Rhinolophus ferrumequinum: one gene and its partners. The protein of the gene in region 1 purifies or fractionates together with the protein of each later gene. This does not show direct contact. Links are inferred from orthologs where the notes say so. Each region holds a gene or a part of one and is shown in the gene's direction. Other genes may lie near its edges. The genes, in order: CCNA2, SCAPER, RBL2 and CKS2.

The links.
Region 2: the proteins of CCNA2 (region 1) and SCAPER purify together in Homo sapiens (affinity purification with mass spectrometry; 3 studies listed by BioGRID and IntAct, counting the BioPlex papers as one, with this or other methods). This does not show direct contact. The link is inferred for Rhinolophus ferrumequinum from reciprocal best matches to the Homo sapiens genes CCNA2 and SCAPER.
Region 3: the proteins of CCNA2 (region 1) and RBL2 purify together in Homo sapiens (affinity purification with mass spectrometry; 3 studies listed by BioGRID and IntAct, counting the BioPlex papers as one, with this or other methods). This does not show direct contact. The link is inferred for Rhinolophus ferrumequinum from reciprocal best matches to the Homo sapiens genes CCNA2 and RBL2.
Region 4: the proteins of CCNA2 (region 1) and CKS2 purify together in Homo sapiens (affinity purification with mass spectrometry; 3 studies listed by BioGRID and IntAct, counting the BioPlex papers as one, with this or other methods). This does not show direct contact. The link is inferred for Rhinolophus ferrumequinum from reciprocal best matches to the Homo sapiens genes CCNA2 and CKS2.

Annotation. Positions count from the first base shown.
Region 1 is NC_046301.1:4,678,946-4,686,498, reverse strand, and holds the start of CCNA2 (cyclin-A2), read left to right. Parts: upstream 1-4,410; 5' UTR 4,411-4,677; coding exon 4,678-4,878; intron 4,879-5,667; coding exon 5,668-5,911; intron 5,912-7,193; coding exon 7,194-7,306; intron 7,307-7,506; coding exon 7,507-7,553. Other genes in the region: BBS7 (Bardet-Biedl syndrome 7 protein), read left to right, coding at 104-207, 339-462, 2,406-2,539. UniProt on the Homo sapiens protein: Cyclin which controls both the G1/S and the G2/M transition phases of the cell cycle. Functions through the formation of specific serine/threonine protein kinase holoenzyme complexes with the cyclin-dependent protein kinases CDK1 or CDK2.
Region 2 is NC_046311.1:38,988-47,464, forward strand, and holds the start of SCAPER (S phase cyclin A-associated protein in the endoplasmic reticulum), read left to right. Parts: upstream 1-5,388; 5' UTR 5,389-5,482; intron 5,483-8,477. UniProt on the Homo sapiens protein: CCNA2/CDK2 regulatory protein that transiently maintains CCNA2 in the cytoplasm.
Region 3 is NC_046298.1:7,166,929-7,174,608, forward strand, and holds the start of RBL2 (retinoblastoma-like protein 2), read left to right. Parts: upstream 1-4,631; 5' UTR 4,632-4,751; coding exon 4,752-4,991; intron 4,992-7,094; coding exon 7,095-7,225; intron 7,226-7,680. UniProt on the Homo sapiens protein: Key regulator of entry into cell division. Directly involved in heterochromatin formation by maintaining overall chromatin structure and, in particular, that of constitutive heterochromatin by stabilizing histone methylation.
Region 4 is NC_046295.1:4,649,588-4,657,672, reverse strand, and holds the start of CKS2 (cyclin-dependent kinases regulatory subunit 2), read left to right. Parts: upstream 1-4,825; 5' UTR 4,826-4,979; coding exon 4,980-5,038; intron 5,039-8,085. UniProt on the Homo sapiens protein: Binds to the catalytic subunit of the cyclin dependent kinases and is essential for their biological function.

The DNA of each region.
Region 1 (7,553 bases):
ATGAATCATTTTTTTCTGGGTATTTTTTTGATTGTTGTTATTACAGTGAGAATGTTTCTGATCAAAATTACTTTCTAATTATGCCTGGCTCAACTTCTTCTAGAGATAAATGAAGTATCAGTCAAACACACTTTAAAGCTAATCCACCCAAAGCTGGAGTACCAGTTGCTTTTGGCTAAGAAAGTTCAGTTAATTGATGCTTTAAAAGTAAGTATATGTGTCATGGACTCATGATCATTATTTTATTGTGATGGGATTTCTAAAATTTTAAAGACTTTAAAGTTATACTGGATTGAATTTTGAGCATTAAATTGCTTCTGTTTTTAATTTTAAACAAGGAATTGCAGGTTCATGAGGGAAATACAAACTTTCTGATACCAGAATATCGCTGTATTTTAGAAGAGGCAGATCACCTACAGGAAGAATACAAAAAGCAACCTGCACATCTTGAAAGACTCTATGGTTAGTGTACTATTCTAGAATACCTTGCCATATTTCTTTCTTACTGGCTGTTTGTAAAGGATCATGTGAGAGAAGTTGGGCAGAGGAGACAGGCAAAGATTACAGCATCATGAACCTGTGACAGCCAATTTGTTGCTTAGAATATGTATTTTGTCAAGTTAGTTTTAATATTTAGTAGCTTTATTTGTTAAAATGCAAGTAAAATTAAGTGAAATAAGTATAATGCAGTGTGGGGTTATATACATGAAGAAACCTGGTGTGAAATGACTATAATCTATGAAGCATTAAAATTTAGGCTATATTTTACACAAATAATTTTTAGGTTTTTTTGCTATTGTGAAATATCAAAATGCAGCATTTAATATATTTTTAGGCAAAATTTAATAAGGGATATATATATACCATGTCAGTTTACAGTCCAAAACTCATTTTGTGGGGTGGCTGGTTAGCTCAGTTGGTTAGAGCATGGTGCTGATAACACCAAGGTTGCTGGTTCGGTCCCTGCATGGGCTGCTGTGAGCTGCACCCTCCTTTAAAAAAAAAAGCAAAAAAACGAAAAACTCATTTTGCTTTGGTGGTAGAAGTTGGGTATTTCACAAATTATACTGAAAAAGAACGAGAGCAAGAGGAAAGGAAGGACCAGCTTAAGAAAAACTTTATTTTTTGCAATCTTTACATAAGACCTACTGTACATAGCACACTTGTTTATTTATAACATCTTCATAATCAGGTGGGATACTTAATCCTTAAAAAAAGCTCTGCAAGGTAGATGGTGTTACCTCCATTTTTTACACTTTTTAACTGAAATCTGAGAGTAAAGAATTTGTTGTCGCATAGATAAGTAGAGGCAAAGCCTGCAGAACCTCCTCACCCCAAAATGCGTGCTTTTTGCACTATGTCAAGTCTTCTATAGAGTCAATTAGTGTCATCAATCTACATTTATCCTTAAGCCTACCTGATGAATTTCTTTTATTACATCGAGGGACTTGCTCACAAACTGTAATAATAATATCTAATATCTTAGTATTTACTATATGGAAAGCACATGGTTTTTTATCCTTATAGCAGCCTAGAAGATGGGTGGTGCAGACCCACTGTCTCTTATCACCACTTCCAAAATCCAGAAAACTTTGAAAAACAAAGCTGTTTTTCGTAAATCACTTGGCTTGATAAGTGAGTCATAAATCAAATCTGACTTGATCTGAATTAATTTAATGACAAAATCTCACTTAAACTGACATGAAATTATTTATAGTCTTTTTTATTCCACTTAGTGGGATTGTTTATGCATATATTTTGTTGCAGAAACATTACTATGTTTTGTTATCAAATGCTGTCATTCACTCCCCTTCAGAATTATACCATATGTGCTATATTCTTTTTATTATCTTCCTAAACTGAAAAACTCTGAAACATACCTCCCACCCAGGGTTTTGGGTAAATGGATTGACAGCTTGAATCGTTTCCATTGTACATATGAGAGAACTTAAAGGTGAAATAATTTGCCCAGATCTTTGAACCTAGGAAGTCAAATCCCAAGAATGGTCAACATATTGATGGAATATTTTAATATAAATAAACTTGTGAAGAACAGAATTTCTACAGTATGTTGAAATGGTCAGCTTGATGGATAAAACAAACCTTTTGCTGTGATGTTAAATACACCGAGAGCAGTTCAAGACTGGACAGTGTTTGTCTGAATTAATAGCTTGTAACCAATTGTTAAGAGGGTTATTAGCCAACTGATTTATATTTTGAAACTTGCCTTTAAAATTCTCCCAAAATAAATATTTTTTAAAGCATCAATCCTTTCAGGTTTGTGTATAAATAATGGAATTACAGGTGCTTAGAAATAGAGTCTCAAGCAATCATTCACTTTTATTAAGTACTATGTCATTAATTAGAACTAATCAATGACAGGAAATTAACATTTTTTTTTATAGGCATGATCACCGATCTCTTCATAGATAAGTTCAAGTTTAAAGGCACCAATGTGAAAACCAAAGTTCCTCTTTTACTGGAGATTCTGGACAGTTATGACCAAAATGCATTGATTGCTTTCTTTGATGCTGCATGAAATATAAACCAGGTAAAGTTCCAGAGAAGTTGTCTGTTTAAAAGTAAAAGCTAACTATATATACTTTCATTTCAAATATTTTTAAATATTTTCTAAAAATATTTGAGATACAACTTTTTTTTAGTAATGCTATTTCTTTTGACAAATGCAACTTTTTAAAAATAGAGAGCATTTTTATTTTTAAAATACAAGTGGAATGATTATAAGGTATCCTAATGAATTTTTTGCAAGTGAATGTTTTAACTTTTATGATGATAAATAATATTTGGAAAATAAAAATACATTCAAATATTTCACAAGCTCTACCCACACATTATATATATATAAACTGCTTTACAGTTTTCAAAATGTATTTGCATTCGTTTACCTCTTTTGATCTTAACTGTATTATTTTGTCAAATAAGAAAACTGATTCTCACTGAGGTTAAGTGAAGAAGACTGCTCTTATTTTGTAAAGCTGGGACGAGAACCCACATACTAGTGCCTGGTTTGTGTCCTGGTTACCATATATGCTATCAGCCAGTGGAAATAACCTACCAGTTATTTTTCCTAGGAGTAGAGATTGACTTGCAGTTGATTTCACTCTTGCTTGGTAATGAGCATCGTGACCAGTGCTCAGTTTGTAAGGTGCTTAAGTTGGCTCAATGCTATTAATTGTGGTCAAAGAAACAAGCAGAGCTCGCACCGATTGGGGGTGAGGGGGACTTGAATTCCATGTGCTGTAACAAATAGAGCTAGACCAGTGTGCATGTGAATAGTGCACAAATAGTGATGGCTTCTTAGATTTTCCTGCACTACTATCCACTCATTTCCTTTTTATCATGTATGAAAGGAAGTATGACTTTAAGGCTACAGAAGTGTTATTCATTAATCTTAATTCATGTTTATTCATACTCAGAGGAATATTGTATTCAAAGTTTACTTTAAAATGGCATAAAGATTATAATGGAAAATCAGCTATTCTCTATGTTTTTAAGAAGGACACACTCATGAATTTGTCAGAAAACAATCGTGCTTAATTATATACCATTATATTTATTAGTTATGTACAGCCTTGAATATTAAATGTGAAAATCTGTTAAAGGCACTTATCACTAAGAGTTTTATTTTAATAAGGTCACATATTCTACTATATTCAAACAACCTTTTCTAAATGGAACACATAAATATGTCACTAGAATTTCACTGGTGCTTTTTGTTGGCTGCTACATCGTGGGTTAAAATAGATCAGAACTGATGACTAGTTGAATTTCTTGTAGTAATTACTATTTGTTATATGTATCAACAGTAGTTCACGGTGGCACCTCAAATTAATTGCATCTTCATTAGGAACAATAAAAAAGCATCTAAATGGTAGATGACATAATCTGCCATGTATTACATGTTATTACATGAGCAGCGTGTTAAATAATTTATGCATATAATTTAATCCTAACGACAACAGTATGACGTGTAGATATTAACAATGAGCAGATAAGAAAACAGATTCGGAGACATTGAATAACCTTGACCAAGACTACCAGACCAGTTAGATTTTACACTTTGGGAATCAAGTCAGTCAAAGCCTGGAGGTCCCTGGGCTAAAGGCTGGGGCGGCCCACCAATCACGGCTCAGGTTTCACTGGTTAATCCTAGGGGCAGCCCTGAGCCCAGGGACCGCCCCGTGGCTTCATTTAAAGTCACGGTAAAGCCAGGCCCCGCCTCCCGCCCGGCGCAGGCGTTTTTCCTCCCGCCGCCGTCCGACATTGCCCCGCCCAGCCCCTGCTCGGTCGCCTGCGCGGCCGCCTTCACTCGCTTGCGACGCGTCGCCCCGAGTGACGTCACGGGCCCCCGGCCTTGATCATTGGCTCATTTCAATAGTCGCGGGATACTTGAACTGCATGAACAGCCGCCTCTCCGGCGGGCTGCTCGCTTGGTCTCGGTGGTGTCCTAGGCTCTCCACGCCCGGCGGTGCCAGCCTGCGCCTTTCATAGCCTCCTCGGTTCTCAGCGATCCGAGTGGGTGGGTGCGCGGGCGGGCTGGCCCGGGCTGCGGCAGGCGGCTACGGCTGGAGCACTGCTTGGCGCGGCCGGACGGCGGTACCGAGTGCACGCTGCTTGGCGCTGCAGGCTGATCCCGCCGTGTCCTTGGGAGCAGTGATGTTGGGCACTTCTGCGGCCCGCGAGGCGGGCTCGGCGCTGCTAACATTGCAGCAGACGGCGCCCCAAGAGGACCAGGAGAACATCAACCCCGAGAAGGCGTCGCCCGCCCAGCAGCCCCGCACCCGGGCCGGGCTGGCTGTACTGAAGGCCGGGAACCAGCGGGGTCCGGCGCCGCCGCAGAAACCGAAGACGAGACGGGTAAAGAGAAGAGCGATATCTGCAGGAGGGTGGGCCGAGGGTTAGTTTTGCAAAGGTTTAGCGGGCAGAGGAGAGGGGCGAGAGCATCCTCTGGGCTTTTTGTTAGGGAGGCCTGGGCCTGCAATCCCCTCGATCTCTGGTTTTGTGGCGTGTGGGATGCCACCGGCGTAGTTCTCCCATTACTTTCCTGGCCATCAACTGCATTGTGCTGCCTGTCTACTCTCGATTGGGGGTATTTTTCTGTAGATAATGGGGTCAAACCAAGCTCTACAGCATGACTGTGGTCTTTGCCCGCCTCCGTGCCTTTCTCATAGTTTTTAAACCCCCGGCTGGCTCTAGGACCTGGACCTGCTGCCGCCTTCCCACGCGGCTAAGAGGTTACTTCTACCTTAGAAAAGGATATAATAAATACTCTGTTTTTGCTAAATTCCGCCATTTTACCCGATTTGCTCTGTTGCTCCACCCTGGGGTGAAAGTGGTGAAGCAACGCATTTTTGCCATCTCTTTCCTAAACTTGTCACCTTTCAGCCACTCCACCCCTCTTGTGGCCTTGATTAGTTTCTCATAATTCCACTTGGTATGACGCTCTATAACCTTTGCATAAATGCCTGTGACACATTGGAACATTCCTTTTCTTCGACTATTCGAAGTTCGTTGCCTGGATTTTGCCGCAGTAACTTTAATTTTCCTGATAGAGTAGTTGGGAGTAAAGCAGAGGCTGAGACCCAGAAGGGGAAGAAAGCAAAACTTCATTTAATAGGCTGAAAATCAGTATCCGTTTCTTTTTAGGCTGCACCTCTTAAGGATCTTCCTGTAAATGATGAGCATATTATTGTTCCTCCCTGGAAAGCAAACAGTCAACAGCCTGCATTTACCATCCATGTGGATGAAGCAGAAGAAGAGACTCAAAAGAGGCCAGGTGAATCTAAAAAAACAGAGTGTGAAGATGTCCTGGCGTTTAATTCAGCTCTTACTTTACCTGAACCAAGAAAACCACTGGTACCTCTTGATTACCCCATGATGGGCAGTTTTGGTAAGTTTTAATGAACATCTGTATCAAATCGATGTAATCATAATTATTAGATAAGTTGGGTTAATGATATTTCGCATTTTAAGGCATCTTACCTGACCCTTACTACATGAGTTAGGCTTAATGTCACAAGTTTAGAAAGGGTGTTTTATCTCAGACCTCACAACTAGTACATGACCTAGTGACCTACAAAAAAGAAATAAAATCCTAATTGACCAGTGTTCCTTCCAGTACACTGCCAGTCTCATCAATTTAATTAGAGCTCATTGATTTTAATCTGACCCTGGAAATGTTTGCTCTGTTGGGAGAATAGATTTCAATTGTATTCATCAGATTCACTTTGTTCATACCACTTCAGAGATGGGTATGCAGCTTTCCATATTGTGATATCTACTAACATCTCTTGAGCTTTAAAGTTTTGTTTTGTGAAAGCATATGAGCGATCCTGTGATACCAGAGAGGAACACTGTCCTGTGAGTCAGCAGCTGAACCGTGGCTCTTTGTCTTAACCACACATCAGAGTAGCTGCTTTCGACAGTTGTGCCTGCAGTTTGTGCTGCTGCCTAACCATAGGGCTCGAGTCCCTGGACAGCTCACTGAATCTAGTCTTTTAGTTTTATTGATGAGTGGGGGTCTGGGAGGAGCAGGAAAGTCTTTCGGAATTCAAAGAATTTGTGTATTTTTATTTAAAATTTGCAACAAATTTTAGCCTCAAAGTGAACCTTGAAGTGAAAAGAAGAATAGATCTTCTTTGCTTCAAAAGATAACTTAAAATTACAAAAGTGAATCACTTGTTGATTACAGTGTTAATTTGTTTATAGTGCCCATAATAAACCTAAAAACCGAATTTTCTCATTAATACACTTGTTAGCCCTGCTTCCACTTAATTTGTAGGTTGTGCTTTGAATATGTCGAGCTTTGGGATCTGCAAATTCTTAGGGCAAATCCTATGTTATCTCAAAACCTGGACTTTAACTCTGTCCTAACGGAACCATCATGTCACCTGTTCTTGTCTCATGGAAGTTGAATGATACTTCAACATACATAATACATGATCCTCACATTTATTTACCTGTTTGTGGCCTATCAGTATTTTTTCTTGTTAGATAAAGCTAAGTAGACAGAGATACTAAAACCGGAGTGAAATAAATATTCTTTGTACTTTGTCATGGGAAGCCCTTTTTCATCACGTGAAATATATGCTTTCGTGGTGTGGGACTTCCTACAAGGGCAGTGACTTTTTAAATTAAACAGTGAACTTAATCGTACTTTTGAATTCTCCCAGAGTCACCACATGCTATGGACATGTCAATTGTACTGGAAGATGAAAAGCCAGTGAGTGTTAATGAAGTACCAGATTACCACGAGGACATTCACACATACCTCAGGGAAATGGAGGTAAAGGCTCTCTGAATCCACTTTTCATACTGTTAATCAATGTCATGAAATGAAATTGAGAGGGAAATGCTTTGAAGTTTTTTAACTGCCAATGAATTGCTCTAATGCAATACTTAGGTTTCTAGCATATAGCAGCATAGTTAATGATAGAATAATCTAACTGAAATGTTTAAATCTATGCTAAGTAACTTTCTCAACAGATTAAATGTAAGCCTAAAGTGGGTTACATGAAGAAACAGCCAGACAT
Region 2 (8,477 bases), on another chromosome or scaffold:
ATCTGTCCTAAAGATTAAGTGTCATGATAGTTCCATCCTCAAATAGAAACCATCCTCTACACCCGGCAATTCACATTTATGGCCCTAAGCCACTTACACCCATCTCTGGCACTAAAGGCAGCCAAATGAACAAGTATTAGAGTGCCTTTTCTGACTTGCTCCCTATATCATTAGGGTGACCATACATCTTGGTTGACCTGGCGTACTTATTAATCACTTCCCTTTCACTCTCAAAAGTAACCCAGAATGGGATGATAAATTATAATGTTACCTTACTTTTGGGCCTCACACTCAACACTGACCAGCCCCCTCTTTGCCCCCCTCTCCAAGACCCATGCTTTACTAAGCCTCAGAATCCTTTCCCACACTCTTTTCCCCAGCTTATTAACAATAGGTCCTTGAAGTCTTAGTCAAACACTTTAACAGTAAAAATAAAGACTAGAAATGAGGACGGGATAAAACTTTGCTAAAGGCAATGAGAGAAGGAGCAAAATGAGGAGTAAGACTGTGGACTAAGCAAGAGTTTCCTATAAATTAAATGAAATTAATGTTCTTTTGGCATTACTAAACCAGCTCTGAAGACACTTTTGTGAGAGGACATCCAAAACTGATATGAGCAGAGTGACTTCTTTGAAAGAGAATACTTCCTAAATGTATACATTCTGGAGTGTTTGTGGGAACAAAACTCAGGATTGCCTTATAGACACACTGTGCTTTCAGTCCTTACATGTTCTTAGATACAAGTGACAAAGAGAAAACACAGTTCCTATCATTGCAATTCCACCACAAGATGATGTTCAGGGACTTGTAGTTATTTAGGCTCTGTTTTTTTGCTTTCAGTATCCAACTTAGGTATGGGGGCTTGTAAGGTTGGTTTCTGTTTGTTTGTCTTTATTTATTTATTTTTTTAAAGGTTTGCAGTACCATATAGTGCAAAGACAGAGTCACACAAATAATGCGTGATGCTTGTTGTTTTTTTTTTTTAAGGCAAGTTGGTATTTACAAATAAGAAAAAAGAAAAGTCAGATCCCATTCTTATCAATAACTGCTATTAACATTGGTGTTTCTTTCCAGAGTTTTCTGTATGCATTATACAGGTTACCCCTGTATAACACGGTTGTTAGGTTCCTAAAATGCCATATTATGCGAATCCGTGTTATACAAAACAGAGAACTAATTCAAAAACGGGAGTTTCCAAAAATTAAAAAAACATATTATTATGTTTTTTATAATTAAGAGACATATCTTTATTGAAGCAATTTTCACCAAAACCATAACATATTAATATGTATTAAGTAATGTTTTTTTGTCATCACTACTAAGCTTTTATTACGTTCCGTGTTGTTTGGGGATTTCCCTAATTTCAAATGTGATATCTTCTGCTCTTAAAAGCTCTTACTACACTCCATGTTGTTCGGGAATTTCTCTAATTCTCAAACCATGGTAGAGTGAAACTGTGTTGTAGAATGCCGTATTGTACAAGGGTTTCCCTCAATTCTCGAACCATGTTAGAGCGAAAACGGGTTATAGAAGTGCCATGTAACCTGTATGGGGGTTACCTGTATATCCTTGTTAAGGCAGATATGTCTTATGCAAAAATAGGATACAAAAGAAGCTTCTTCTATCAATCAAATAGCTGAAGAAAGCAGAGTTGAGTAAAACAAGCTACACCTTGGGGTCTCCTCCAAAACATGACTCCTGGTCTCTAGTCTCACAGTTTACACATGATACCCAAAATGAGAGGCATCTCACATACTCTGGCTAAATGAACACCCACCTGACACTCACTTAATAGGAGAGTGGAATTGAAACACAAATGTACAGGGGAGAAAGGAAGATATGGTTGTATCTGTTACTTATTCTAGTAGAGAGCTCAAACCTCAGACTTCTGCTGCCCATGTCTTCTTCTGAAGAGTTCCCACCCATGTGCACTGGGAAAAAAAAAATCTGTATTCTGAAGTTCTGGATTGCACTTTTCTATATATGTAAATTAGGTAACATTTGTTCACTGTGTAGTATGGATCTTTTATATCTAAATGGCTATTTTATCTGTTTGTTTTATCATTTACTAAGAGTTATATTTTATAATATCCTATTATGGTTGTATATTTCTTTAATTTTGTCGACTGTTGTCATAAATGTTTTGAGGCTATTTTATTGAGGACATACAGATTTGTGACTTTTGTATCTTCCTGGTGGACTGATATTTTAACATTATAAAATGTTATCTTTACTTTTTTAAAAAAAGCATTTCATTGTAGAAACTACCTTATGTCAACTATAATTAAAAAAAATAGTCACAGGATGTTAAGTACAGCAAAGGGAATATAGTCAATAATATTGTAATAACTGTGTACATTGTCAGCTACGTAATGGACTTTTTGGGGTGATCACTTTGTGATGTATGTAACTGTTGAATCACTATGTTGTTTTGTACACCTAAATCTAATATAATACTGTGTATCAATGGTAACTGAAAACTAAATTTTTAACAATTAAAAGAAAAAAGCCAACTACCTTGTTTAATGCTAGCATAACTGCATCAGGGTTCTTTCACTTACTGTTTGTAGCTATACATTTTTCTATACACTTACTTTCAGTCTCACTGTTTTCATATTTATGGTGTATTTCTTGAAAGCAGCACATAATTGAAGTTTTACACTTAGTCTTAAAATCTTTACCTTCTAATTGGAGTATTTATTCCATTTTTACTCAATATAGTGACTGAGAGATTTGATTTTAAACACATCATCTTATGATTTCTTTTCTATCTGTCCAATACATTCTACGTTCCTTCTTCTCTCTATTCTTGCCTTTTTATAATTATTACTTTTCTTTTTATTGTTCTGTTCTTTCCTCTATTAGCTTGCAAATTTCAACATACATTTTTGATTTATGAAACTGTCTCTAATGTAAATTAATGTACCACCTCCTGAACAGTGTGAAGATCTTAGAACACTTTACTTAAATTTACTACCCACCACATGCCTTACTGATTTGTTGTCATATATTATAATTCTTTCTATAAAATTAGCTCTATAAGATATTAGTATCTTTATTTCCTAAATCAATATTTGTTTATAATTACCCACATATTTACCCTAGCAAGTTTCTGTAGGACAGTCACAGTGCAGACTCCTTGGGTACTAGAGAATGAAGCCATGACATCTGTCACAGAGAAATTTATTTGGAAATAGAGTTAAACTCTATTGTAACCATTTGAAAAGCACCTGCAGGTGGACTGCTGTGCCTTGGTAAAGAATGAACATCTGACTATGATGACAATTTGTGAGGATGGCCAAGTGACTGTTCATGAGTAAGGTGTTTCTTTTTGGGGTGATGAAATGTTCAAAACTTGATAGCAGTGATAGTTGCACAACTCTTTGAATGTACCAAAAATCACTTAAGTGTACACTTGAATTGGGTGAATTGTATGGTATGTAAATTATATCTCAATAGAATTGTTTTATATGTATGTAAGAAAGATAATGACTGTTTTTACGTTGGTCCTATGATTTTGAGAGGTTCAAGTGGAGACAACCATTTGAATCTGGAGCTCAGAGCTGGAATCAGGGCTGGAGATATATACTGGGAAATATAAAGCACAAAGATGCTGTCTAAAGTTATATAAAAGGAAGCAATCTCCCCAAAACAGTGTGTGCAGTGGGAAAAGAGAGGGCTTGCGTCTCTCCCTGAGGGACAACAACATTTCAAGGGTGGGAGAAATAAGAGGTGACTTCAAAAGAGATGAAGAGGGAGTGATGGGAGATGGGAGACCAAGGAAGTGAAAATTGAAGGCAAAGAAAGAGTGTTTCCAGGTGGCAAGTGTGTCAACCAATTCAGAGAAATTAACTTAGGTCATAATGATGATATCCACAGGATCTGCACTGGGGATATCCGTAGTGACTTTGGAAAGAATGGTATCCAAGTGGTGGTGGGGCAGAAATGTGGTATCCACGTGGTGGTGCTTATCATATATTATGTAATTTATTTGTTACATTCAGTATTTATCGTCTGTCACCACCCTGTTCCAAGAACACAGGAATTTTTATCTAGTTTATTTACTAACTCCAAGTATCTAGAACAGTGTCTGATATGTGGTCTAAGTATTGTGAAAAAAATTACTGAAAGAACAAGTTTTCTAAGCAGGTAAGAGGGGAGAGGAGCCAGAACACAGCCAACAATATGGTTCTGACTTGTCAACCCCGAGAATGTACCTACCAGAAAGGACCCCTGTGGTTAATCGGCCTCAAATTCATAACTAGAACCTAGCAGACGTTGTTTGCAGAGGTCCCTCAGGCTGCTTGCCTTTCAACGAAAAGCCTCAGGCTGAGACTTTCTAAGTCTTGCATTGTGCTCCTGCCTGTCGCTGAGTCCATTCTTTATAAGGGTGTGCCTAAGATCTCAATTCCACCAATAGGACTGAGACTTTCCCCATCCAACCAGAGCTGTGCAGCTATAGCCTCATTTGCATCCTCACCGACCAATCAGAGAGGCTCCATTCTGACCAATGAGGAACCATTTGCATAGAAATGGACGGATCAGGTGAAAGGCCCAGCACTCTTCTCTACATAAGGGCGCTTCACCTCTGCCTCAGCTGAGCACACTTTCAGTGTCCATGGAAGAGTACCATGACGAGGCTGGAGCTGCAACACCACACCGAGGCCTCCTCACCTGGGCTGCCTCGACCAGTAAAGTCTCTCACCTCACCTTAAGTTGGTGACTCTTGTTGGCATTGAGTTGGTGACAGGACCTTCAGTTGACAGTCTCCATATTCTGTGAGGTACCCTCCATTGGATTCCATGACTTCCCCTCCCACCTACTGTGGTTGACAAGGGAGAGGGCAGGGTGAAGAGTGAGCTCACCAGCTGGGTGAGAATGGTGGGGAATGTTCTTGTGATAATTATGGTCTAGGTTGAGTCTCTTTCCTCTTTTGTTCAGAACTGTGTCTTAAGTATCGTTATGGCATTCCGTTCGTGTAGTGTGTCTCTTAAGTAGAGAAAAGACATTTACTGGGTCTCTACTCTGAGCCCTCCAAGCCTGGCACACAAGAGGGGCCGAATAAAGCTTTATGGCCGAGGGGCGGGTGTGATTGGCGTAGTCCTACGGGGTTTTTTGAGGCGCTTCCACAGGTCCAGGTGTTTGTGAGGCGGACCTCTTGGTCCTTCAACTGTGGGACTAACTGTGGTGACACGAAAGGCAGAGGGAAGGCACCGAATATGAGATAGCGGGCTGTGTGGCAAAAGGCGGCAGTGCCAGCGCAGCCTAGGAAAGAGAACAGCTTTCCAGAAGCAGCTGCACGAGCCTCCCGTCTCCGCGGCCCCGGTCGCGAACAGGGCTGCGCCTGCGCGCGTGCGGCCGGAGCGCGGGGCCGCCAGCGGCGTCGCGCAGCGCGGCTGGGGTCACGTGGTTCGCCGGCAGCCGCCCCGCCTCTTTCCCGGCGGGACGCTCGGGACCGCCCGAGCTGCGCAGGGCGGCCGGGGTGAGTGTCCGCGAGGGGCGCGCGTCTTGCAGACCGGGCGGGCCTGGGCGGGGACGCCAGGCGGCGGAATGCCTTGCGGGCCCACGGGGATAAAATGGCTGCGGGGTACGCCCTTTCACCCTCTCCCCTCACCTGGGAGTGTGGGCGGCGAGGGACCTGAATCGCCGCTGGGGGAGGGGAGCCGCGGCCGCTGGCGAGGGCCCGGGGGTCCTCTGAAGAGGCCGCGGACCGGGGGTGAGCAGGCGCCAGCCGGGCTGTGAGGGCCAAGGGGTGGGCGCGGTCTGCCTCGCCCCTCAGAGGGCGACCCCGGCAGCGCGCGTGGACGCTTAGGGAATGTCCAAAGTGCGAGGGCTTTCCGGGGGAGCCTCCCTGCCGGCCCCTCACCTGACAGGTGATTAGCCCGTCAGCTTGTTCTCAGCGGGCTTGACCGCGCTTTCCCTCCATCTGCCCGGGACACGACAGGAATGGTGTCTCCATGTACACACGGGGAAACAGGCCTGCAGGGGTGAGGAGCCGAAGCCAGGCCTCGCACCTCTGTCAGTGCTCCCTTCCCGGCGCCTCATTCGCGCCTTTCCCCGCCGGGGAGTGACGGGAACGATAGAATGCAGGCGGCAAACTGGTCCGCGAGCAGCACCTGCTGCTGTCAAGTGGCTCCGTTGGGGTGGGGCCGCCTGCCTCAGAGCAGCGTCCTATAGCTGGTGGACTGTATTCCTCGTTCTGTTTGTGCCGAGTTATTCCCCGTGAAAATAGCTCTTCAGTCTAGTCATCTTACTGAACGGTAATTCCTTATGAATTATAGTTTGCTGTAGTTTTCCAACATCAATTATTTCATGCTCAAACAATCCGAGGTAGAAGGATGGGGTGGGTATTATGCCCTTTTTATGAATGAGGGAACTGAGGCTGAAAGACGTTATTACGTGTTCCCGGTCACTTGCTGGTAAATGGCAGATATGCGATTAAGCTTCCGGACGTAAGGCTGGCAGTCTGCCCATTATCCCACTCTCGTTTATATTGGTGTTCTGGGTCTTGTATTTTCTTCCGTTAACTATGACTTTTCCCAAAAATGTGTTGGGTGCAGATCGATTTATGCACCATGTTGAAATGCTCTGAATAATTTCAAGTAAGGAATTAATATTTTACTTAATCAAAGAGCAGATTTTTAATATGATTTGGAAAGTTGTCTTTGTGGGAGGAAGTATGATATGATGACTTTGAAAGCAGATGTGAGTTTGATCTGAGTTTGAATCCCGGCTCTATTACTTATCCAGTGGCCGACTACTTAGTTTTTGTGGGCCTTTGTTTCCTCGTCTGTAAAATAGGGAAAATATCCTCCTCATAAATTTGGTGACACTAAGAAAATGAGGTGTCTGTAAAGCATTTAGAACTGCTTCTGGCCCATAGTAATCTCTCGGCAAATGGTGGCTTTTTGCCTTCTTTTTCCCCGTTCCCTTGAGCTGCAATTTTTTAATTTTCTATAGTTAACCAGTTGGTGGTTTAGGTCACTCTACCTGATGAATTATGCACGGAGGCATCATTAGTGTTACTTTATAAATGCATTTATAAATAACTTTGGTGACTTGGGGTCCAAAGGATAGTGTTTTAAACATAGACTTTACAAATATTTGTCCTAGGGCTTCACAGATTCTTAACCAATAAAAGTTTGATTTGATATTAACTTGATTAATACCTTAATTTAACCACTTTACAGGAATGTCGTAAAGCTAAGTCATTAAGGGGCTTGAGAGTCTGTCTTTCACATTCATACTCAACCACAGTCCAACCTAGTGTTAAAGTAGAAGAAAAAATTCTTTGGGAATCACATGTGAAGATTCTTTAAACACTAATAGAAAGTGGTGGTGGCATTTAGTGGGAAGTTAAACAGAATTCTCTAATGGTTCAATCTGATATCCACTGTGAGATTGGCATTTCTTTGTAGAAGTCAAAACTGCAAATGGTTTGTATACCAAAAATTAAAGTAAGTCATTAATAAAAATCTGTTTCCAGTTTCATGTTGGAATGGTAACCTTTTCCACAAACATGTTTTGCTTTGGCAGTAGGTTTTATGAAACATAAGCAAAGATCTGCTTTCCGTTGGTGGAGCCAACCTTAAATTATTAGAAGGAAATGGTTTATAGAAAGACTTTTTCCTCTGTGTCATGAAACACTAAGGATTTCAGGAAGCTTTGATAAAATTATTAACTACTTTTTAATGACAACTTCTTAAAGTACTAAGTTCATTATATATTTTGAGAAGATAGGTAAAATAGAGAATAAAATTAATTGCTGTGTGACAATCTATTTTAGCGGTTACCTATGCCTGGGCAATTTTGTCCTATGAAAGCTCCCTCTCCATTGTTTTGAAGCAAATCTCAGACATAACATTTAATTTTCAGTAGGTGGTAGGCCTGCTTTTAATATAGTATTGGAAAAGCAGGGTAGTTCTTGTATTTTCCAAGAGGCATACCAGGTTCATGGGAGAAAATAAATGCTTCTTGGTTGATATATTCATGGTAGTCTGTATAGGAGTGATCAGAATTGACAACCTCATTAAACAAGTTGGAATTATAAAATGTCCATTTTGCTTTTCAAAATACTTATTTTTACCGTAGTACACTTATTTTCCACTTAGCAAAGACATTAAAAATTACTGATAATTTTTGTTTTAAGTACCAGGCTCAAAGTTAAATACTTAGATTTTCTTATATTTCAGAAAATGCAAAAACACAAGTGATAGATTCGTGAACATTGGAGAGGAACTGTGATTGCAAACCCTAATTTTTCTAGATTTCATTGGTAATCATGAGAACAATTCATAGATGTGCTGTCCTGGCTTCAGTTAGATGGCCTGCATATTTTACAGTAACACTAGTGTAGTAGCAGGCCTCTCACTGTATTGCGCCTATCATTTACTTCTTGCCCTTTCAGAACCTGTGTACCCAAACTTGAATAAAGAAAAGAGGCAGGCCTTTCCTGGTACTTGAGCCAATCTTCACAT
Region 3 (7,680 bases), on another chromosome or scaffold:
TGTTTTATTGTTTATTTCAGATTCCACATGTATGTGAGATCATACAGTCTTTGTCTTTCTCTGAATTATTTCACTTGCCATAATGCACTCAAGATCCATTCATGTTGTCACAAATGGCAGGATTTCCATCTTTACTGTGGCTGAAAAAATATATATATATCCACATACCACATTTTCTTTATCCATTCATCTATTGATGAATACTTTGTTTCCATGTCTTGGCCATTGTAAATAATGCTGCCGTGAACATAGGGGTGCAAACATCTTTTCAAGATAGTGATTGTGTTTCCCAGGATAAATACCCAGGAGTGGTTTTGCTGGATCATATGGTAGGTCTATTTTTAATTTTTTGAGGAACCTCCATACTGTTTTCCATAGTGGCTGCGCCAGTTTACACCCTACTAAGAGTGCACAAGTGTTTTCTTTTCTCCACATCCTCACCAACACTTGTTATCGCTTGTATTTTTTGTAAGAGCCATTCTAACTGGTGTGAGGTGATACGTCACTGTAGTTTTGATTTGCATTTCCCTGATGATTAATAATGTTGAGCACCTTTTCATTCATATGTTGGCTGTAGTATGTCTTCTTTGGAAAAATGTTTATTCAGAATGCACATTTTACAATCAGGTTGTTTTGCTTAATTTTGTTCTATTGAGTTGTATGAATTTTTTGTATATTTTGTATATTAACCCCTTATCAGATACATGATTTGCAAATATTTTCTCCCATGCTGTATGTTGCCTTTTCATTTTGTTGATAGTTTTCTTTGCTGTACAGAAAATTTTTAGTTTGATATAGTCCAAGTTGTTCATTTTAGCTTTTGTTACCTTTGCTTTTGGTGTCAAATCCAAAAATTAATTGCCAAGACTGATGTCAAGGAGCTTGCCACCTATGCTCTGGGACTTGTATGGTTTCAGGTCTTATGTTCAAGTTTTTAATCCATTTTGAGTTGATTTTTGTGTATGGTGCATGATAAGGGTCCGGCTTCATTCTTTTGCATGTGGCTGTCCAGTTTTCCCAACACCATTTATGGAAGACTGTCTTTTCCCCATTGTATATTCTTGGCTTCTTTCTTGTAAATTAATTGGCCATATGTGTATGGGTTTATGTCCTCTCTATTATGTTGCAGTGATCTATTTGTCTTGTTTTTAATGCCAATACCATACTGTTTTGATTATTATATCTTTGTAATATAGTTTCAAACCAGGAAGTGTGATGCCTCCAGCTTTGTTCTTCTTTCTCAAGATTGCTTTGGCTATTCAGGGTCTTTTGTGGTCAATATTGATTTCATGGACTCAATCATTAATGTCCATGCCCTTCATTCCAAGCAAGGCCCTTCTCACAGCCGATGGGGCCTTGACACACATTTCCCACCACCGCAGATACTTAGTTTGCAAGTTCCCCTAAAAAGAGAAGGGAGAAAAGGGGCTACCAACAAACAGGTCATATGGTGACCCCAGTCTAAAGAAACATCTTATAGCCTGAATGCAAGAAGGAAAAGAAAATGGACAAAAATGTTTTAAAATGTAGCAATAAAAAGCAGTTGAGGGTGTGTAGCCCAATATCTACTGTCATAGGCCGTAATTGTTTATGACAGAAAAGGCTCTAAGGGCATGTTGTTTTTATTCCAGAGTACCAAGGCTTCCCTATGTGTTAAGTAAAGCTAATTGTTTGTAGTTTATACTGTGGGTTGAATTTTTAGCACAACGGATTCTCATTCAAAATAAGCAGAGCTGGTAGGAGGGGTCGACCTGCGGGGCTCATAGTGTCAGGCCATATTGGACAAGAATAGCTGAGTGGAATTAATCACAAAATGACGGTTAACTCAGGTCTCAACAAGAGACTTAAAATACCAGGTAAAATGTAACTTGGCCTCAGCCCTGCTTGGGTAGATAGCATCCTCAAGTGGAAATTCAAAACAAATGAACAGTTTTTGCTAGTAGCAACACATGTAAAAATATATTTATGGGAGACCCATATAGTATTGTAAACTCAGTTGAAACCACATTCTCAATAATAGCCATTTGATAACTCAGTCTGGAAGGAATTGAACACTGCCTAATGATCACAGGGAAATAAATTTAAATTTCAATGTGTCTGGGAATGCAAGATGATAGACCCACTTTCAAAGAAATTTGGCAGTGTCTTATAAAGTTCAACATTTACCACACAACCAGCAATGCCAATCCGTCTTAGCCGGTTTGGGCGCCTTCTCTGCGTGCCCATGGTGGCCCTTTCTCAGTCCCTGAGTGTGGCCTTCTAAGGCCACCAATCCTATTGGATTAGAGCCCCACACTTATGACCTCATTTAACTTCAGTTACCTACTAAAAGTCCTATCGCTGAATGCAGTCACACTGGGGGGTAGTTTTAACATGAATTTTGGAGGGACACACATTGGGCCCATAGCACACTCCTAGGTATTTACCCAAGAGTAATGAAAATTTCTGTCATGAAAACATGCACATGAATGTTAAAGGAGCTTTTCTCATAATCACCAAACACTGGAAACAATCCAGATGTTTTCAACAATCTTTAGGGGCTTTAAAAAAAGAAAATCCAATAATTACTTAAAGGCTCAAATAAAATTTAAACTTAGGAAAGAACTAGAAATTAGGAGCGACACCGACAATGAACTTTGCCAGAAAGGCCCTTGCTATTATCCTTATTTTTTTAGATAAAAACCAACTGTTGAATGGATAAGTGTTGGGACATTCATATAAATATGATTTGCCAATAGAAAGGAACAACTGACACAAGCAACTTGGATGGATCTGAAAGGCATTATGCCAAGTTGAAAAAAGCTAGAATCAAAGGCTACATAGTGTATGATTACATTGTATGACATTTTGGAAAAGAGGGAAAACTATGGGGACAGAAAACTGATCAGTGATTGCCTGGGGATGTGTGAGGAGGGTTTACTACAAAAGGGCACTAGGAAAATTTTAGGGTGATGGAAATGTTCTATATCTTGATTGACTATATTAATTTTGACTATTGGTCAAAATTCATAGAACTGGACGCTTAAAAGAGTGAATTTTACCATATGCAGATTAATATCAGTGAGTTTTACAAAAGAACAAACAGAAGGATACTTTGTACATACATTTTTGATGAAAGGAAATATGAAAGATCAAGAAAGGACTTTCAAGGACAAAAGATTAGGATACAATTTTGTTAGGATAGAACAGGAGTGTGAGGTAAAGGAGAAAAAGGAATGATATCAAATTGCTCATTGTTAAACGAAAGTTTTGTAAATGTACTTTTTAAATGCATTATAGTATCAAAGTGCTATGACATTTAGAGTCCATTGGCTTGGAAAATATTGATAGTGACAAGCAAAGAATATTTTAATAAGACATTTGATGGTTTATGACCAATTTTACTTCAATTACATTAATTACATTAAATTTTACTAAAAAGGGTAGAGTTTTACCTCAATAAAGAATTTAAATTTTGGGCCAGCCCGGTGGCTCGGGGTTAGAGCTCCATGCTCCTATCTCCAAAGGCTGCCGGTTTGATTCCCACATGGGCCAGTGGGCTCTCAACCACAAGGTTGCCAGTTCAATTCCTCGAAAAGAATTTAAGTTTTACTTCTAGTAAAATGTTGATGATGGTATCCAAAATAAGCGATATGTCATTCTTTAAAAGTTTAGTATCCCCAGCCCAAATATAAGGAAAGTAGCAAAATTTCTTATCAACGTATTTACAAATACTTATAAAGCAGTTGTGTCCCACCTCTGTTCTTGCCCTTGATCATCTTAACTCAGCACTGAGAAAACAAATCCAACTCTACCGTGAATTTCAAGGCAGGGTGTACAAATAGGATTTCATCGTCTCAAAATTGTTCGTGAGGCATCTGTTACCTTTCCTTAGTTCCTTCTCTCCTACCTCCAAGTTTCCTCCCCCTCTTCTCTCCTGCTCCTATTAAAGCTTCCCTAAACTGCTTTTGTCCCAGTATTTCTTTTCCTCGGTTTACATAGTATCCCACTGAGCAATGACTTACGGCTTATCAAGCATGAAAATGTTTTATAATATGCCCATTTATAAATCTTAGAGGATTGGCAATAAAGTGATTCAAGTCTATAGATATGAAAATAAAGCAAAACAAAAATAAAGCAATAAAGTTAAGCCAACTGGGTGACTGAGGATAGTACACTCAATGTCACGGTGAACGTATATTGGCCCTATTGGGGGAGGGCTTTTAAAAAAGAAAATCCAATAATTACTTAAAGGCTCAAATAAAATTTAAACTTAGGAAAGAACTAGAAATTAGGGTAGACACCGACAATGAACTTTGCCAGAAAGGCCCTTGCTATTAACCTTATTTCTTTGATAAAAACACCAAGGTGATGAGTATTCTTTCTGGGGACACCTTGGATATTAAACCTTCACGTGTCAATTAACGTTTCTTGGACGTTTTCTCTTCAGTAGAGTCCTGCTGAGTGGTCTCAGGATGGGGAGGTACTTAAAATGTAGAAAAGCCGCTTTTATTTCATCCCAAAGAATACTACGAAAGCAGATTTTTTTTGGGGGGGGGTGGGGAATGATTTTTGACCCCCTTGGCTCTCCGGCCCAGACTACGTTTCCCAGCAGGCCATGCTCAGAACTACGGGTGCCTACGTGAAGTCAAGCGCCGTTAGCGGCGGCGCAGTCGCCGCATAAGTGGCCGACGGGCGGGCGCTTCGCGGTTTGAATGGCTACGGGCCCGGGCCCTCAGCTCACCTGAGGACCGGCCGCCCAGCGGTGCGCGATGCCATCGGGAGGCGACCAGTCGCCGCCGCCGCCGCCACCCCCTCCGGCGGCGGGAGCCTCGGAAGAGGAGGAGGACGACGACGGCGATGCTGAAGACGCCGCGCAGCCGGCCCGGTCGCCGACTCCTCAGACCCAGCAGCGGTTCCACGAGCTATGCAGCCGCCTCAACATGGACGAGGCGGCGCGGGCCGAGGCCTGGGACAGCTACCGGAGCATGAGCGAGAGCTACACGCTGGAGGTGAGCCCCGGGGAGGAGGCGAGGGGCTTTCCGGGCCTAGTCGCCGTGCTCGCCGCGAGAACGGGGCCCCCTTCTTACCCCGGGTCGGGCTCCTCGCCGGGACTCTCCGGCGGGTCCCTGGTCTCCGGGTCTCCAAACTGGAGACGGATGGGAATCCTCCCTGTGCACCTTAGTCGTGGAAACCTGGCGATTGAAAGGCTCTTGGTGTTCCCAAAGGGGAACCCTGTCTTGCTGTTCTTCCCTTTCGGGTTGCGAATGGGGAACACCTCTTGCCCTAACGTAGCACCGCGAGGGTTACAAAAGGACAACTACCTGGTCGGCAGAACGAACAGGTGCACTTGTCAAGCCCGGGCGGAGAAGGGACGGACGTTGTCGGTGTCCGCACCGAGATTAACCCTTTAGGGTTTCTAGCCTTCCCCTTCTGCTCTTTTTCTCCTGCACCGCATCGCCTTAGTCCAGGCGTTGCATCTGTTTGTTTGAGGAAACGCGTTAAGTTTCCGCCTGGGTTCGCGTATGTGTCAACGGGAGAAATCTCCGGGGCGAAGGAAACGGGCTTTCTGCCTCCCTGGGTGTAGACACACGCCCCCATTTGTCACTAGGAAATGAGGACGGCGACGACCTTGAGCACCTTTCGGTCCCCCAGACAGACATTGCACAGGACTCTCGTAGTCGCTGTGATGTAGGCATGTTATGGCCCTTTCTTCAGACGGGGCTTGCAGATGAGAAAAATGGTCTTGCTAGCCAGTGAGACTCAACTCTGTAGGCACCTCCCCTTTATGGGCCAATGGGAAGTGACACGGAAGTCTGGATTGTTTATCAGCTGTTTCATTGCGTGTGTGTGTGTGGCGTTCAAACCGGAAGCCACATGATTTTCTTAGGTTGTTATACGGGTTGTGGAAAGAGTAGGGCAGATAGGCTCAGAATGGGACGGCCTAATCAAGGTATTTATAATAGGATAGTTCTGCCTTTGTGTCACTAAGGTTATTTTTATTTATTTTTGCCTTAATAGGATTTTCATTCATTTCCTTCTCCCTATTGTTGTATCTACACAAGAAGAAACAAAAGCTAGTAATGTAGTAGCTTTAGAGCCTTAAGTGACTTTGGACAATTTACTTAACTACCCCCAAACTCAATTCTGTGATATGTAAATTTGAGAGATTTGTATCTACCTCACAGAGCCGTCTGAAGGTTAAATAAGGTAATATGTAGTTTCTGGCACATAAAGCACTCAGGGACAGTGCTGTCCAGTCTGCAAAGCTCTTTCATGTACTTAGGTGATCTGGCTGAATAGGCCATGTTCCTATTTATTTCTCAGTGGTTCCTGTGGTCAGGAAAAGAGAAGGACTCTTTTTTTGGTGATGGGCATTAAGTGCCTCCAAATAAGCTCTTACTTTACCCTCAGGATAATCCTGTAAATTAGGTAGAACAAGCGTTATCTCCATACGGTTGAGGTATTTCAACTCATAGAGGTTAAAGTCCTATGAAGTCCAGTGTTATATAAGCAAGTGACAAATAATAGATGCTTCGTAAATAATTTTTGAAAACATGTTTGATCACTCAATTTCTGGCCTGTGGAGCTTATAGTTGGGTACGCTATAAGATAATATTATATCAGATTACTGTATTACATAATATATTACATATTACAGAATACTGGTTACAGAGTTTTATCTTTTGATTTCTTGTATTGTCTTTGCTTCATACTTGTAACTCATTCAATTCTCACAGTCCTCAGATAAGAAAATTGAGCTTCTGTGACTGTTAAGTCATTTGCTCAAGGTATTCTACTCCCATATTGGGACTCCCAAAGCCCAGGTCCTGTGAGAGAGTCAAGTGGAATCTGTATTGCCTTTTATGATCTCGGGAAGTTACATAGCATCACTTTCGCCTGTGCTATTGGTTGAGACAGTTCAAAATGAGGGAATAGAGACTCCTGCCTCTCAGTGGAAGAATGGCAGTCACATTAGAAGAGCACATGGGATAGGGCCATCATTAAAAATACAATTCCCCACACATATATAAATATTCCTTTCTATTTAAACATAAGATTTTTGTGTTGAAATATATATAGCTCATTAGCTAACCATCAATTTTCTTTTACAGGGAAATGATCTTCATTGGTTAGCATGTGCCTTGTATGTGGCTTGCAGAAAATCTGTGCCAACTGTAAGCAAAGGGACAGTTGAAGGAAACTATGTATCTTTAACGAGAATCCTGCGATGTTCAGAGCAGAGGTAACTATGTTAGAGTTTAAAAAGTAGAATGCGATTAATATAAAAGCCCATAGACCACAGTAAGAATTATCTTTGTTCATCATTTTCTGAGCATTTGTACTTATGGCGTGCTGAACTTTGACACTAAGTCATGGCTCTCCTTTACCACATCTCAGTTAGTATCCATTATGTTTTACTTATTTGGTGAAAAATACTTAAATTTTAATATATTAGGCACTTGTATGAAGAGTTTACTATTAAAGGTTGTGGCTCATCATTCTATAATATTGGAGAATTCTGAATAAGGATATTGAAAAACTTTAGGAAATGTTCTACATTGAAAAGATTAAAAAACTATTATATGGTATTAAATTTAGAACTACACGCACAGGACTTGTATCTTAATATATATGGAATGTGTAAATACTTCTAAGTTTCCTGTTTGGGGTATAAGCAACACTATTATAATCAGTTAC
Region 4 (8,085 bases), on another chromosome or scaffold:
TATCCCTGTTGGTGACAGGGTGTTGCTCCAGCTGGGTCCGAACCTGATGTGCCAGTCCTAGAGCCTTCTGGGAGGAGCCCCACTGCAGTCCAAATTCAGCCACAGCCTGTGCTCTGCCAAGGGCCACCTAGCATGAGCCATAAAGTAATCTGCAGATGACTACCACCTGTGCTGGGAGACTAGTGAGAGGCAGACTGGGTCAGGTCTGGGAACCAGAGGGTTGTGAAAACCATGGCAAAGAACCTACCTGGGGAGGAGTAAGAGGCAGGGCTTCATGTGAACTGAGGCTTCCAACCCTCAGTACAGGCTCCCTTGTGCCATTTACAAACAGAGCAACTTCACTTACAAAACACAAATTTAAAGATTAAATTGTTAAGAATTTCCAGACATGACAGCAGAGCTTTAAATCCCAAGTGCAGGGTCCTATGTGATTGTACTCACTTTTTAAATCAGCATTATTCTTGCCTAATAGAATAAACTTCATAAAACTTGAAAGTTTGGTAAAATTCTTCTATAAAGCCATTTGGGTCTAGTGTCTTCTTTAGGAGAAGACTTTTAATTACTGCTCCAATTTAATAGATATAGGATTCTTCAGTCTTCTTGTGGTTTCTTGAGCCAGTACAGGAAGACAGTAAAGGCAAAGCACATGAAGGAAAAACAGAGAGACCAAGCAGAAAATAGTAAAATGGCAGACTTAAAGCCTAACATCAATAATTACATTGTGTAAATGGTCTCAAACACCAATTTAAAAACAAAGATTGGAAAAATGGATAAAAAATTTTTACCTAACTATATAATGCCTACAAAAAATTCACTTCAAATATAATGATATAGGTAGGTTAAAGGTAAAATGATGTAAAAAGCTATAGGACACAAAGCCCAATCAAAAGTATGGTGGAATAGCTATATTAATATCAGAGTAGACTTCAAGGCAAAGAAAATTACCAGGACAAATTGGGACATTACATAATGATAAAATATCTATTCACCATGAAGACCTAGCAACCTTACATGCATCGAGTAACAGAGCTACAGAATCCATGAAGCAAAAACTGACAGAACTAAAAGGAGAAGCAGTGTAGGGACTAAGCCCTATGGTACTCTCACATTTATAATAATCAGTTAGAGACCAGGATGGGCCAGTACAGGCATAAGGGACAATCTTGAACATCCTTTCAACAGAACACTAAAGACCTCGTAAGAGCTATGAAATGGCCATTCATGTCAGTGGAATCCCAGAAGGAGAGTGAAAAAGCAAGCTGTAGAATATTTTATAAAGTAAGAATATGCATATATTCTAGTTCTGAGAGTGATACATCTGAATTAGGTATAGGAAAAAGTCTACGTAAATAATATACCATATTGTTTTCAGTGGTTAAATCTGTGATCTGGGGTTGTTGGGTAAGAAGCAAGTAGGCATCTTACTTCTGATATTGTAAATTTCTTTTAAATTTTGTAAGAATAATTTTTATTTCTGTAATTTTCAAACATAAATTGAATATAACATACTAGGAAGAGTGCTCAATAAGTATTTGCTGAATGAGTGAATATGGACCAACTACGGCAATTTTGCAAATGAATTTTGTCACTGCACTAATGGCCTGTTAGTGGGGTAGGAAAGTTCTAGATACTTGTTGGAGATCCATGATAACTCGAGCATGCTCTAATCTTACCAGTTGCCTTTTTACCATGTAAACACCAATCAAAACCTAAACTTCCTGTTTGAAAGGAAGCAGGGCTTGTTTGAAAGACCCACTTCAAAAAAAGCAGAAATCCAATCCCTGTTGGTTCTAGCTTTGAAATTGCAAGTCTGTCCCTTCCTACTCAAACTCATCCTATCAACAGTAATAACTTTGTAACAGGGTGTCCCTGTTAAGGACATTCCTTCCAGTCTATCCTCCACATTCCTCTCATTACCTTTGTCACATCTGATCTGACTGTGCCACTTCCTTGCTGAAAACATTAGCTGGCCCTACGTTAATAAAAATGACCAAATTTCTTAGCAAAAAATCCCTCCCCAGTCTGGCCCAATCCATTATATTGGTTTCCTATTGCTGTTTTGACAAATTACCACAAACTTAGTGGCTTAAAGCAAACACAAATTTATCATCCAATATTTCCAGAGGTCAGAAGTCTGAAATACGTCTTAAACAGGCTAAAATTTAGATGTTAGCAGAGAGGTGTCCTTTCTGGAGACTAGAGGACATCTATCCATTCCTTGCTTTTTCCAGCTTCTAGAGGCTATCTACATTCCTAGGTTCCTGGTGATGCCTCTCTGACTTCTTGTTACAGCTTTCTCTGACCCTCTTGTCTCCCTCTTATAAGGACCCTTGTAATACCATTGGGCCCTCCCAATAATCCAGTATAATCTATCTCAAGATCCTTAACTTAATCACATCTGCAAAGTCCCTTTTGATGTGAATACATTTGTAGGTTCCAGGGATTAGGATGTGGACATCTTTGGGGGCCATTTTTTTGCTTACCACATTCATCCTCCCAGATTTAATTCCCACAACTTTCCTTTCCATGACCTCTATACTCTAAACCAACCCCATTTAGCATTCTGTGCATATAGGAAGTTTCCTCACGCCTTCACCATGACAATCCTTCTATTGGAAAGGCAAGAGGTAGTGTATGATAGATTAAGAGGCCTAAGTCTGGAGTCAGACTGGGCTCATATCTGAGTCTGCCACTTACTTGCTAAATGGATTTGGACAAACTTTTGCTGTTGTTTGACCCTAGATCTAAATACCAGATTATAGGAAAAACAAAGTAAATTATACCATAGGAAGCAATTACCCAAATCCAGACTGTGGAATGTTCCACAGGCAAAAATGACCTGGTTTTTCTGATAAACCTATATTTAAAAAAGGTGGTCTGTCAGCAGAGGAGATTGTATAAAAACTTAAAGAGACAATAACCAAATTCGATGTGTAGGCCCAAGTTTGGATGCGGATCCAAACCAACCAACTATAAAAAAGGCATCTGTGAATCAGGGAAATCAATCTAAAACAGGTGTCAGAGAATGATGAAGAATTATTAAGTGTAATGACATGGTACTAAATGTATATTTTAAATTTTTTCTTGAGATGTACACCATAAAGACAGATATATATACAGAAGTATTATTTCAGAGTAAAATGGCATTATATTTGGGATATCTTTAAAGTTATTCTAGCAAAAAAAAAAAAAGAGAGAGGAATAGATAAAACAAGATGGGCAAAACGTTTATTGCTGAAGTTGAGTGACTGGTACATGGGAGTTGATTATACTATTGTATTTTTGTGTGTTTGAAATTTTCCACAATACATCTCTGTAAAAATACAGAGGGTGCCAAAAAATGTATACACATTTTAAGAAAGGAAAAAAACTATTAAAATTGTAATACTCGATGTATGCTGGTAACAAAAAATGAATACAAGTTATGTGTATATATATTTTTTGGCACCCCTGGTGTATGTCCTAGGAAACTTTTTTCCCAGGTTCTGCCAGACAGTTAGTGATTTCCTTATCCATCTACCTTAGCAGTTTATTCGTATTTTTACCAGCACATAATCACACCTGATTATTTGGGCATACATTACTATCACTTACTACTTAAAACTTATTGCTCATCATGTGCAAGAGACTCTACTATGTCCTGGGTAGAGCAGTGAATGAAAGACATGCCCTCATCACCGGGTTATGTAGGGGGGGCAGACAAAACCCCAGCAAGCATGCAACAAAGGACCAGTGGGTTGGAAACTCCAAAGACGCTAAGGAGGGACAGGAACGGGGAAAGCGGGGACTTCTTGAGCACAGGGTATAAGGAAGCCGTTTCAGGAGACTGATCCTTAACCTGAGAGCTGAAGGTGAAGGGCCACCGGGTGTTGGGTTGGGGGAGGGTAGCGGGCCCGTCTATGCTCTCACCTGTACTATGCTGCAACTAACACTGAATCAAGATCGTTACTACAAACATAACACATTCTCATTTAGGGAAATGTGAAAAATACAAAAAAGGTCACTTTTAATTGTCATCTAAAAAGAACCACTTACATCTTGGCATATTTCCTTCCAGTAACTTTATTTTACATGTGCATGTATTTTAAACTAGGGCTCAATACTAAGAGCCAAAAAGTTTTAAAAACCACTTTTAATCCCTTTGTCCGGTAGGAAACGTTATTATTTTAATAATCGTTTTTACATTTTGCATTAAGAAAAGCACGCGTATACACATGCTTATCTAGAGTTGTTATGAATTATGCTCAAGGCGTGGGAATACATGTTTTACCTCACGTCAGGCCTCTAGTGCTCAGCCCCGGCCCTATCGTTCACGCAGCACTCTTGCAGGGTTCTGAAGAGTTCCAGGCGGAACAACCTCGGCTTCCTCACGTTCCTACTCTCCCCAAAAAGCTGGGTGCCCTCAAAGTTCCCAAACCTTGGCTTTCCCTATCTTCTACAGACCTAGGACGCGGAACCCGGGAAATGCGCCCCGAGCCTGCGCCTGCGCACAAGCGGCCTCGCGGCGGGCAGCCCCGCCCTGGCATCGCCAAACACCGCGATATCTCATCCGTCCCACAAGTTCGTCGCCCTAACGGCTCTGCAGACCTGGAAAGTTCTAAACCCCCTGCACCCTTTCCTGGTCACGCCCCTTACGTCAGAGAGCTCCCCGCCTCCACGCCATGCCAATCATTCACTTCTTCCCTCGGGCAACCTCGCAACAAGCCACTGAGTGGCTGATCTTGGGAGTGAACGTCGCGGAGCAGCGGCAACGATAGGCTGGAAGCCGGCCCCGCCTTCCCGCAGTTTGCACAAAAGGTGATTGGTCGGCTTCTTTGTCCAATCAGCGGCGGGCTGTCGGATTCAAACCAGGATCGTTAGGCCTGCGGTCTGTTGGTTGCAGTTGAGTCGTTGCTTTGGCCGGACGCACACCTTCCCTCAGCTGCGCCCGCTCTTCCTGCCCGGTCGCTCCCCTTCCGCGCCGCCTACCTGCCGGCAGGATGGCCCACAAGCAGATCTACTACTCAGACAAGTACTTCGACGAGCACTACGAGTACCGGTAAGTGGGCCAGTGGGCGGGCTTCCTCAGCCGCTGCCCAGGGAGGGCCGGTGTTCGTGTGGGGGCCGGAGGTCGGGTCAAGGTCGAGGCCGGGAGTTGGAGTAGGGGCCTTGTGAGGATGGAAGCGTGTCGGGTTGTGGTCGGGGCCAGAGCGCGCCCCTTATTTCGCCTTTACGGGCACAGCCAGCCTCCCCTCTTTGTTCCGTCTGTGAGAAGGATGAGGCAGGGGCGGAGATGGGGGCCACTTCTGGTGACGAGTTGCTACCTTAAAGGGAACAGGCGGAAGGACCGAAGCGGACCCGGGTCCTCCGCCACGTCCAGTCGTCACTCGGGCTCTGGGCGGGCCAGTGGCCGACATCCAGCGGCGAGAGCCCTACTCCACCCGTGCCGCGGTGCCTAAGAACTTGCGAGCTAGTTGGCATTCTCGAAGTAGTTCCTCTCTCCCAGTCACTGTGGTGTGGAGGGTGGGAGAAACACTTTTTCTCCTTGCTTTTGAAGTTAGTGATGCTAAAAATGACTTTGAGGGGGAAACCCCGAAAACTTCGCTTTTTGGAATTTTTAAATGTTTATTGCGTATGGTGATTTGGGTAGGCGTTTGTGCGTTAACCATGATGACTTAAGGGCATTATCAAAGGGGTTTCACATTTAAGACTAAGTTGAGAACTCGTGTGGACTTTGGGCATTTGTGTGTGTGTGTGTGTGTGTGTCTCAGTATATACTGGCCAGATCTTCGCTTTGAGGAATTTTTGGTTTCTGAGTCGTGATGTGCTGCACTAGAACGTAGTTGCTAAAATTAATCTGTAAAATTAACAACTTGGATTGTGGGAGGGAAGGACCACTTCGTTTATTGGCCTTATTGTCTGCAGGAGACTTCCTTGGGGCGTGGCTTCAAAGACCAATCCTACCCTGTTCTCCTGGATGGTGACTAGGAAGCTGCATTTGGGGCCAAGCAGTGACCTTGTTTCTGCCTGCTGTCCTTTCAAGTTAGATTTCCAAGAATGCTATTTGAGGTAGAAAGGGCATAGTGTTTGCTCACTCTCTCTCTCTCCCTCTCTCTTCTTGTTGTATTGGAAGTCTGTATTCTCAGGAGAAAAACTGATGCAGTTTTACAGATTAGTAATACGTGCATTGTTTCATATTCTTAGCTAGAAAAATCTTGTTTTTCTGGATATAGATAAATTTGAAGTCGATCATCTTATTTTTATATAGTAACTACATGGTACAGTTTCAATCCTGTAATATATTGGCATAATGTTCAATTATGTGACATCGACCAAGAGCCCAGCTGGGGATATCCAATAGTGGACAGAATGTAAACTGTATTACGTTTCTAAAATATGGAAAAAATATTAATATTCTGAAACACATCTGGCTCTAGTAGATTAGGATACTTTTTAGGACTTCTGGCAGTTTCATTTTTTATTGTCAATATACTAACAATTATCGATGAGCACTTAAGTAGACTGCGCTGTCAAAATTTTAGCCTAACTGGTTTGTGTATACTAATGTGTAGAAGAAAATCCTGTCGTATCTGAAGTGATATATTCTAATCTATTATTAATTAAAGATAATGGTCCTTCTTGACCAAGCCACTTGCCTTACAGAAACAGCACAGTGATTAATCTCCAGAGATACTTTTAAAGGCAAGTTGATACTGATAATAAATCACTGAGGTGTGAGTCTAGGGTGGTTTGTATATGGTGGTGCAACATGCAATGTGAATTTCAAAAGTATTTATTTTTGCTAGTGTGCAGTTGCCTACATCTTTGTGTTTTGTAAATGCAAACTTAATTTCCTATTCCCTTTACTTAGGTTATTTTGTAAATGAACTTCAAAACTTAGTTCTGTTAAATACCGTCTGAAACAAGTATTATAGGGTTGTATGGATTTAAATTTATAAAAATTTTATGTTAGTATTTTTTTTTAAAAAAATCCTATCCACAACTGTTGTCTGCCCTCCTAATTGCATCTTTGTTGTAGCTCCTTTATATTGGCCTATATGTAGCTGTTTATATTGGCCTTTACCCTCCTCCCCTCCGTGACAAGCCCATGGTACTGAAATAAACACTTAGTTTTGGAAATAATTTTTCTTACATGTAGTTAGAAAACTATCTCCATGCAGTTAAATACAGGTAGAATTTCTATGTGAGCTTGAAGCTACTTATAAATTTTTCTTTTATAATCAAACTTGGATGAAGGTGAGCCTGTTCCCATGCTTTATGGAGAAGGTAGGGGTTGTGACTTCTATCTAAATAACATGTTGGTGCATTTATGTAGGTATACATAATAGTACAAGTTTAGTTAGCATTACATTTCTCTTTGAGACTAATCAACAATGTGATAGAAGTAAGATTATAGGTTATTTGCAGAGCCTTAAAAGGAGATGTTAAAGCAGCAATCCAAGAACGAATAAGGTAGCTGGTAAGTATTACTAAGAATCACCATGCAGTTCACTGGAATTGGTGAAATTTTAACCAGGATAGTATGCATAATTTGACTTGGCCTCATGGCAATCTACTTGCATAGCACAATTCTTCTAAGGTTTATTTTTGTTCTACATAAAATTGATACTTAACTAACCAGCCACAGATTGGCTTAGTTGCTGACAGATGAGTACTTACAATGGGTTCACTTTTCCTGTGTGCCAGAAAATAACCAGTTATACCTTTCTCACTTCTAGCCAACTGACTCACAGGTAGATATCCTATACTGGTCAAAAAAATTGGTTGAATATGTATGACTGTACAAAATTAGTACTACCTGGAAATGGTAAAAATAGGGCTGGGAGTTGTGATTTTTATAAAGATCTTTATATGTAATAAGGGGTGTACGGATTTGTCTTTGAGAATGTAACAAAGCTACAATTGTACATATTCTTGATGTTTTGACATTGAAGACTATCGCATACCTTCCTCAAAAAACTTAAGTTTTGGGTATAGGTCTAACTTAACTGGAAAACTAAAGGTCTGTGTCAGGTAGCAGGTACATATATATGTGTGATTAGTGTTTGTTTTTTATTCATTCTGAACAGAGTATAAAGCAACTTC